3 linked regions of the Kluyveromyces lactis genome follow. The protein of the gene in region 1 interacts with the protein of each later gene in a biochemical or structural test. Links are inferred from orthologs where the notes say so. Each region holds a gene or a part of one and is shown on either strand. Other genes may lie near its edges.

The links. The genes of interacting proteins can lie anywhere in the genome.
Region 2: of the proteins of CDC28 (region 1) and TUS1, one has a biochemical effect on the other in vitro, tested with the Saccharomyces cerevisiae proteins (2 studies listed by BioGRID). The link is inferred for Kluyveromyces lactis from reciprocal best matches to the Saccharomyces cerevisiae genes CDC28 and TUS1.
Region 3: of the proteins of CDC28 (region 1) and DDC1, one has a biochemical effect on the other in vitro, tested with the Saccharomyces cerevisiae proteins (2 studies listed by BioGRID). The link is inferred for Kluyveromyces lactis from reciprocal best matches to the Saccharomyces cerevisiae genes CDC28 and DDC1.

What each region holds. Positions count from the first base shown.
Region 1 is NC_006038.1:854,827-857,463, reverse strand, and holds CDC28 (cyclin-dependent serine/threonine-protein kinase CDC28), read left to right. Parts: upstream 1-1,249; coding exon 1,250-2,137; downstream 2,138-2,637. Other genes in the region: IFA38 (ketoreductase), read left to right, coding at 1-665. UniProt on the Saccharomyces cerevisiae protein: Cyclin-dependent kinase that acts as a master regulator of the mitotic and meiotic cell cycles. Required to drive the G1-S transition. More than 200 substrates have been identified. Substrate specificity is in part regulated by the bound cyclin protein.
Region 2 is NC_006040.1:221,454-225,432, reverse strand, and holds the start of TUS1 (Rho family guanine nucleotide exchange factor TUS1), read left to right. Parts: upstream 1-1,179; coding exon 1,180-3,979. UniProt on the Saccharomyces cerevisiae protein: Guanine nucleotide-exchange factor (GEF) for RHO1 that stimulates the exchange of RHO1 GDP-bound form into GTP-bound form. Required for signaling of cell wall defects to RHO1.
Region 3 is NC_006041.1:1,723,599-1,726,989, reverse strand, and holds DDC1 (Ddc1p), read left to right. Parts: upstream 1-1,229; coding exon 1,230-2,891; downstream 2,892-3,391. Other genes in the region: APL5 (Apl5p), read left to right, coding at 1-1,040; pyruvate transporter MPC1, read right to left, coding at 3,090-3,391. UniProt on the Saccharomyces cerevisiae protein: Component of the checkpoint clamp complex involved in the surveillance mechanism that allows the DNA repair pathways to act to restore the integrity of the DNA prior to DNA synthesis or separation of the replicated chromosomes.

The DNA of each region.
Region 1 (2,637 bases):
CTGATAGCAAGGAGAACTATACTTTAATTAGAGAAGTTGCGTCGGGTTTACCTGTAACTGTTTTGATCAATAATGTTGGTAAGTCTCATTCGATTCCAGTACCATTTGATCAAACCGAAGAATCTGAATTGAGAGATATAATTACTATCAACAATACTGCGACATTAATGATCACACAAACTTTGTTACCACAATTAAAAGCAAGCGTTAAGACGTTGAAATGTCGTGGTCTAATCTTGACAATGGGTTCCTTTGGTGGTCTGCTACCTACCCCATTCTTAGCTACATACAGTGGTTCCAAGGCATTTTTACAAAGTTGGTCTAACGCCCTAGCTGGTGAATTATCTAGCGATTCTATCGATGTTGAGTTAGTGTTATCTTACTTAGTTACCAGTGCAATGTCTAAGATTAGAAGATCAAGTGCATTGATCCCTTCTCCAAAGGCTTTCGTGAGATCCACATTGAACTCCATTGGCAAACGCTGTGGTGCCCAAGAGCGTTTTGCAACCTCCACGCCGTATTGGTCTCATGCATTATACCATTTCATTATCGAGAACACCGTCGGTGTGTACTCTAAGATTGCTAATTCAATTAATTATTCCTTCCACTTGAGTATCAGAAAGAGAGCTTTGAAAAAGGCTGAAAGACAAGCCAAGAAGCAATAAAAAGAGTTGTCTCCAAAATATTAGTTTGTTTTGATATAAGGAGCAGGTTTAAATAGATTTGTTGTAGTAACGTTTGATTATTGTGCGATATCCTGACAAAGAAACCATAATTATTGGAACCTGTAGAAGTGTATAAATTTTGTAAGTTTCTGTGTTAAATATTCTGTAACATGAAAGTATACTGAAAAAACCGTTCAGCAATGCCCTATACGTTACAAAATCCCTGCGTTCATCTTACAATTCCAAACCTTTCTTTCTTTTCAATTACACGTAAAGCTCATTATTGACCTTCTGACCTTAAAACGAAGAAAATACAAACACAATTTCGAAGATATTAATATAGTATTAAGGCAACGTTAATCTGTTAGAAAGAAGGCACATACCAGGGTAATATTAGAGCCATAAGCACTGAGTGATAGTTGATTATTTGATTTGACGCATATTTATACGCGAGCACAGCAAATTTTACTTGATCTGAATATACTGCTGCAAAAGAGAACAATCTGTACCTACCTAAAACTTGAAAGTAGTAAAGAAACAGAACAGCAAGGTCGCATCATACAAGAAATCCACCCTATACCAGGATGTCCGAATTAACAAACTACAAGAGACTTGAGAAAGTCGGAGAAGGTACTTATGGTGTTGTTTACAAAGCGGTTGATTTGCGTCACCAGAATCGAGTGGTAGCAATGAAAAAGATCAGATTAGAATCTGAAGACGAAGGTGTTCCCAGTACTGCGATACGTGAGATTTCATTATTGAAGGAACTGAAGGATGACAACATTGTCAGATTATATGACATCGTGCACTCGGACGCGCACAAGTTATATCTAGTGTTCGAATTTTTGGATCTTGATTTGAAAAGATACATGGAATCGATCCCCAAGGACCAGCCATTGGGAGGCAACATTATAAAGAAGTTTATGATGCAATTGTGCAAGGGAATTGCTTATTGCCATGCTCATAGGATCATACATCGTGATTTGAAGCCGCAGAATCTATTGATCAACAGAGATGGGAACTTGAAGTTGGGAGATTTCGGCCTTGCACGTGCATTCGGTGTCCCCTTGAGAGCGTACACCCATGAGATCGTCACTTTATGGTATAGGGCACCAGAAGTGTTATTAGGTGGGAAACAGTACAGTACAGGGGTCGATGTATGGTCCATTGGCTGTATATTTGCCGAGATGTGCAACAGGAAACCGTTATTCAGCGGAGACAGTGAAATTGATCAGATCTTCAAGATATTCCGAGTGTTAGGCACACCAAACGAGAGAACATGGCCGGATATTATTTATCTACCGGATTTCAAGACTACATTCCCTAAATGGAACCGTCGTAATTTATCCGAGGTAATTCCATCGCTAGATGCAAACGGTATCGATCTCTTGGACAAATTGATCACCTACGATCCAATCCACCGCATTAGCGCCAAAAGAGCAGTACAACACCCGTACTTCAAGGAGGAGTGAGAGTGTTGGTGACAGGAGGCGCGTATATTCATGTATATGATATATAATAAAAACAATACCAGTCACGTGTATTCACGTGACTTATATTACCCGGAACTCCACATTCCATTTCTTTTTGTCCCATCCAACAGCCCTTCGAGAGATGCTGCAAACATACCACAAAAACAAAAAAAAAACGGGCCTTGATTTCCTTGCCTGTGCCACAGCAATGCGCCCAAAAAGAAAGAACTAAGAGCAAGAAAAACCGAAGCAAATTGAAACCCGCCCCCCTCCCCTAGGCCTGGGGCTCTTCGTTAACGTTACGCCATTGCTAGTTTGGCTGAACGCAAATCTACCTAGTCACCTATCCTCGACATCCCCTCTCTATCGCTAATATGTCTGTCCATTATTCCGACCGAATCCCTGAAGAAATTAAAGACGAGGCCTGGTAAGAGACAGCTCAATTGACGTAATGTCTCTCAACTCAACCCATACCTTCTCTCTCTCTATTCACATCCCCC
Region 2 (3,979 bases), on another chromosome or scaffold:
TTAATGAACGTTTCTTTAATGATAATTTATAAATGAATATTCCAACATATATTATATAAACTAAATCGCGCCAGAATAGATAAAACAAATATCACGCAGGTATTTACGAAAAAGTAAAACAATGTCCACTTATTTATTACGATTGGCGAATCAATACGCAGTTATACAATTCCCGTTGACATTCAATTCAAATTACGACGATACACAACAATAAATCAATTTCAGTCATGTTTAGAGTCCTATTTCAAACCGCAGGAATTGTTTTAATTTGTTATTTTAGTTTGATAATACATATATCCAAAAACCACATACAAGATATTCCTTGCAGATATTGATACATATTTTGTGTGTAGAATATGATTCGATTGCAGAAGGCATGACATCAGAATGTGCACTTTCCTTTCAAGCAGATGTCTTATGGCATCTGATATGACTCGTAGTAATCATTTCGAGAAATCACAAACTGAAAAAGCTGTCATCTTTTTGGAATGATAACCTTACTTTGTTGTAGTCAGGTACGTAGGAACTATGAGAAAAAGAAATGATTCACGTGACACAAAATTGCATCATCCTCTCTCACGCTAAGAAAGGGAGCCCCAGGTGTGCCTTCCGTTGTCCCACATTCATGTAAGCCCTTCAAACCTTCATATTAACGTCTTTCCAATAGCCTGCTCAGTAGCGTACAGTTCTGGAGATGCATTCGTCGAGAGTTCCTTCTGAGCAGTAATTATGCTTCGCAACGACGGTTTCCGGGCGAACGTTTCGGGGTTCCATCTTTTTTCGTTCAGCCGTCGACATAGGAAGTGAGAAACAATTAGAAAGGGAAACAGAAGGGAAACAAATAAGAAACAGGTAGTTAACCGTTCGAAACTGTGATGTTGCAGTTTTCTGTTTTCTTCAATTTGCTTCCCTTCCCTTTGTAATGGTAACGACAAATCGTAGGAACAACTTATTGTTATTAACAAATATAATGTTGTAGCTACTATGTAAATAGATGATGGGGTGGACAGATGAATACTTTATTGTGAAAGGCCCCAAACTGATATCTCCCACTGCGTTCGTTGCTACTCGCGTATCAATTTAGCTTATATACACGAAGCTTTCACTTTCTGGCTTTATGAATACAAGTTTACCTTTATCAAAGTATTGCAATTCATTTCAACAGTATCATTTTGAGTAATGGACAGTACACAACGATCTCCTAGATTACCGGCGTTACCGCCTTTGCAGAGTCAACAATCTACTCCCAAGAAAGTTGGGAATAATGAGAGGAGGAGGAGGCCTCCTCCTCCAATACTGACGAGCCCTGTGACTCCTACATCTGGATCATCTTTCACCGTCGTACCGTCTAGATCAAGTGAAAAGCAGCAGCCTCAGATTGACCAACAGCACCTTTATTCATCTCCTTTTGTCACAGAGGTAAGTGTGAGTGAAAAGAGGGCGCCTGCTCCGAAAGTGTATATATCGCCTTTCGTTGGTGATCCATCTGTGTTTCGGTCACCTGAAACTCTTCCAAATAGCAGTTTCAGCAATAATAGCGATAGTCCAGCTTCACAATCAGATAATAATAATTATAATAATAATAGGCTGTCTTCTTCTTCAACTTCAAGTATATTCACCAATAATGTAACGATGCCAAATATTGAGTTTGAAGGGTTCGCTAGTTCGGATTCGAAAGATATCACAATGAAAGCTCTGCCGGCACTACCCCCACGAACGTTCTCCGGCCCTATTAACGCGGCAACAAAGACTACTGCAACATCTAGTAGTACACTGCAGTTTACGGGGCCCGTTGAACACCGTTATAATGATATGGCAGTTCCAGAAACGCTCCCTGCGCTGGATGCCATTTCTCCAATATCGACAGGAAATTTCAACTGGTCCACTTCGGATAAAAGTAGTTTACAAAACACAACTTTATACTATCCACAACCTCCGAAGATGAAAGATGTTAGTAATGGAGCAATAGGGCCTAATGAACCAAGACTTTCAGACTCAATCAGTAGTTATTATTCCAATTCGAGCTACGCTTTCAATAAAAACGTGGAAGAATATGCTAGACATGAATCGTTCGGTTCAATCACTGGGAGTAAACCACTGAATAATGTGGCTAGCATTACAGTGCCAACATACCCCTTCACGATCGACCTTTTGGATGAAAGAAAACTTTACCAGTGCTACAACATTAGCCAATTGTCACACATATACCAGTGGCTCTTGAAAGTATACTTCGAATGGTTTAATGAATACGTTTTCGGTAAATTGGAATTCTTTCAAATTGTTCAATTACTGTTGGAATTCCAGCTACCAAATTCTTGCGAGCAAGATATCATTGATTCGAACGTGGACAAAATTATTGAATCGCTTATCTTACAAGGTGCTGTGCGATTCGAAGACGATCCGGAAACTGGGAACCAAATCACCATCATCATTGCGGGGCTTGATACTCAAGGGGTTTTTACGGATTTATTGCCCTGTTACTCTTATTCTCATATATATGATGATCCTACTACGGATTTGAAGTGCTATTCATACACCTGCTGGAGCTCAAAAGGATCAGAGAATTACAGGTCACAGCTTAAAATCTCAGAATTCATCAACAAGTCAGTGGGGCTATGGACCGATTACTGGAAATTGACTCCCGAAGAATTATCTGAGATTAATCCTAAGGAAGTTAAACGCCAGAGTTTCATATTTGATCTAATAGTGCTAGAGGAAAGATCATTAAACCTCGCTAATGCAGCAGTAGAGATATATGGGGCCTCTTTTGATCCGGCTCTTTTACCGGATGACCCAAATTTTAAGTCGATGGCATATGATATATTCATTCCATTGATAGAGTTACATAAGGATATTCTTTTGAGCCCTATCCTTTGGAAACTTAAAATAAAAGGTAAATTCATTGATGGAGTTGGCAAGATATATTTAAAGTGGGCAAATGATGCTAAACAGGTGTATGTGAAGTATGCGCAAAATATGGCTACTGTCCACGAAATAATCAATTGGGAAAAGGAAAATAATACCCGGTTTGCATCTTGGTTGAGGCAAATCGATGAGTCAACTCCAATAACCAGATCTAAACTTTACCACGACGTTATCTTTTTTGGTGGATTTTTCAAATCTTTACAAAATATGCCAGTAACACTCAGATCTGTATTGAAGTGTACTGATCCATCAATGGATGATCACGAATACTTACGTATGGCAATTCAAGAGATTGAACAACTATCAAGATTAGTAGATAAAGCCCATGGTGATGCGATAGATAAACGTAAGATAGTCAGACTAGCTCGTCAATTGATTTTTACATCTAAGACAGGCAACACTGTCAACTACCTTAACATACAGTCTGGTAATGATTCCGTGTCAAATTTCACTACAAACAACGAGCATCTTGATTTAAAGTTAGGGGACGGTGACAGGAAGCTAATAATGCAAGGTATATTACAGAAGAAAAGAGAACTATGGCTTGAGAGTGCCCCTGTCTATGTCTTTTTATTGGACAATTATTTTCTGATCACTGAAGAAATATTCAAAGGATCAGGGAAGAAATATAAGCTAATAGAAAGACCCATACCCATTGATTATTTGAGTGTTGAAACAAAGGAGGACATTAACTATAAAAGAAAATCATTGTCAGATGCTGATGAAGAATCTTGCAATGTCCAAACGCCGTCTACGTCAAAGAAGCCTCCACTTTTACCTGCTGGAACAACAATGAGCTCTATACCGAAGACGATATACCAAACTGCTACCAACGCTACTTTAAACAATGACGATAATGAAGAATCTTCTTATTCATTCAAGATTAGGAATACTGCGTCTAACGAATCTCATACATTTTCAACCTCAACCATGGAAGAACGAGAACACTGGGTTGCCTCGCTGGTGAAGGCATTCCAGAATCATATGGGTCACAACGAAAAACAGGCGTTTCAATTACAATGTCTCTGTGATCTGTTTTCTTACGATGAGATTC
Region 3 (3,391 bases), on another chromosome or scaffold:
AATCTGAAATATCAGATCTTCTTTCTACACTAATCGCATTCATGGAACAAAAATACAGATCAACGAATTTTGATATACAAGAACGAAGCGTAGAGTTCTATGAAATGTTAAAACTCTGTCAAGATGCTTTGCAAGATGAAACGGAAGGGTTACCTCTATTAATTACCGACGTTTTACCTAGTCTTTTCAATGAGTATGAACTTGGCCCAATGTCACACGGACAACAACAGCAGTTGGTTAAGGCGTTAACACTCGATTTAGACACTCCATTTTTATCTTCTGTTGAACTCGAAGAATTAATGAAAAATGAAGAACTATATGAAGATGAAGCTGCATATTATTCCGACAAGGAGAGCGTTAAATCTGCTGCAAGCGCTGGAAGTTCTGACGGATCTGTAACTCAGGATATCTCGTCAGAGAAAGACATTTCAATGACAGAAGAAGAACTTGCTGCTTTAGAAGAGCGCAGAAGACAAGAGAGGTTGGATAATCCGTTTTATTTGAATGATGATAAAATTGACCGTGCAGAAACGAAATTGATAGAATTGAGTGATAACGATGATGAGGGTGAAACAAAAACAATCGAACCCGTCATCAAAATTTCGACGAAAAAGAAGAAATCTAATAAGTCACCATCTGTACAAATTTTGTCAGATATTGTAGTGGCTCCACCATCCACTATCACAAAGGAGGGGAAGAAGAAATCAAATACTTCTGGGCATTCAGATGCGATAACTCTTTCCACATCGAATAAATTCAAATCTTTTGATTTTAGTCGAAAGGATAACATTGATTACGACGGTGAATACACTGTTGATCAAGAGGAGTTGGAAAAGCTAAAAAATAAACTTGCAGAACAACACATTAGTGACAATTTAACAGCCATCCAAGATGACAAAGAAGAAGTCATAGTTATTAAAAAGAAAAAGAAGAAGAAAACCAAAGATGGCAGTAAGAAGGAAAAGACTAAGAAAAAATATAAAGAGCCCGCTGAAAAAGCTTCAACTCCAGCAATTTCTCTAGCTCCAAACGAATCATAATAACAGATTAATATAATCACTAATCCATTCGCACTATTTCTTTATAGACATAGGTTCAAATATTTAATCTGTAAAAAGATAAATCACGTAATTGCAAGAAAAAACACGAACTTTAGATCTAGTGAAGAGTTTTTTATCACCGCCAGATAAAGGGATTCTGACTGGAAGTTGTGACAACAGGCCATTGCAATGTCATTTCGTGCTTCCATAAACAGCACGAATGAACAGACCATATGGGGTAAATGCTTGGCAACTCTTTCTCAAATAAACCCTGATGTCTTCATAACAATCACCGAAAATGGTGTATTGATATCATCCATGAATGCAACAGACACGACCATGGCCAAGGTACGATTTCCTAAGTCGTTCTTTACAGAGTATCACTTCGAGCCGAAGAAGATTGTATTTGGTGAATCTGGAGTGCAGCAGATCACCGATTGTAATGACATTCTTCACACAATTTATAGTTTCAAAGCGAATGCAAAGTATCTTTCCCTATTATCACTTAAACAAGAGGATACAATTAAAGAATACATGTTAACTATCGACAATTGTGATAATTGTTCTGAAACTATAGCTAACAAACTCATAATCAAAATGAAGACAGCATCTTTGCTAACTAAAGAATATCAAGTTAATTTTGATCCATTGGAAAGTGTTCAGATCATATTAAGTCTGAAATATAAACAAAAATTCCTTTCAGTATACAACAACAAAAGTAAGGGCAGATCATTAGATCCTCGGTTAGTGGATTATTTCAAATCTTTACAAACAGAATTAGAACATGATATGTTTAATAGAGGTATCGCCAATGAACACAATATTGTGAGCACAGTGAAAAATACACCGTTGACGGTTAACGACGAAATCAACTTCTTAAGTTTTGATCAATCAATACTAAGAAACTTCATTGACTCTATTATGTCTAATGTGATCGAGGAAATAAAATTGGAATTGACGAGACATACTCTAGCCATAATAGGATTTACAAAAGCCGTGTACAACATGAAAAGTCAAGGGTACCTCAAACAAGCAGTTACAGTAACGAATACATGTAGCGCAAATGATCTAGAACATTACTGCATATTTTCAACAGAAAAAAACGACGGTTCGAGACCTTCAAGCAGATCACAAAGTATTAAGAAGAGCATTACGTTCAAATTACGAGATTTCAAAGTATTCTTAAATGGACTTAATTGTTGGAAAACAAATGACATGATAAGAATCTGGTTTTGCCAACCTGGTGACCCCATTCTCTTTGAAATAACAAAAGATGGGGTTGTATTGGAATTAGTGCAGGTAACTGATACCGAGGGTAGGGTCGAAGAACCAGAGGATTCTGTCACCCAATTTAACCTGTCACCAGAAAAGATAGTTTCACCAATCAAGAAGGATACCGTAGTGAAACCAGATAAGCTTCAAAGGCCGGAAAGTAAGCAGATGCTGTATCCACATACAAAACGCTCACTATTTATAACGGATGAGGATGGAGCAGATGATGATGACGAAGACGAAGAAGGAAGGCAATTCAGGTTTAAAAGGTGGGGGAAACAAAATAGTAACACTACTCCCAATTCAAACACTGGCTCCCAGTCAACACCATCGAACACAACAACCGAGCCGTCAATTAGCGAGCCAGTAAAGAGAATGAGAACAACTGTCGAATGGGGAGGAACAATTGAATCGAACAATGTCGGTACAGATGAATCTCATCAAAGAGAAATGAACAAGGCTGCTTATCTAAATAATTTGAAAAGACAAGCAATCCAAGAAGATCTCAATCTACAGGAAGAAGATGATGGCATGGGTCCCACACAAGCTGACAGACCTAAAGGTTTGTTCGACTCTTGATAATAAAGAACGAAAGAAGTACTTTATTTTTCATTTCGAAATGAATTCATAAACTGTAATTGAACATATAGACATATAATATACAGTACGTAAATAAACTTAGCATTAAATCTTAGATAACAGACCTACACAGTAGTGTAATCTAAGCCATGGGAGAAAGAATGTTGTTTTGTCGGCAGGTTACATTTTCTCTTGCATCTAGGCTGTCTTGGCGACATTGGCGTCAGTAGCGTCAGCTTTCTTGCCACCTAGATAATGATGGTTTAAATATCTGTAACCTTGCACAAGTTGGGCTGTTTCATTCACAACGTGACAACCGAATAACAAGAAGTTCCTTGGGGTAACAGCTAGGGAATATCTCATAAACACACCAGAGTACATCACTAGAGCCAGCGTCATAGGTCCAGAAATCATCTCCGGATCCTTCTTCAAATCGTAGATGGCAGCAATTGGGATACCGAAGTTTGAAACTGGACCCCAGAAATGTGTGGTGAAGACAT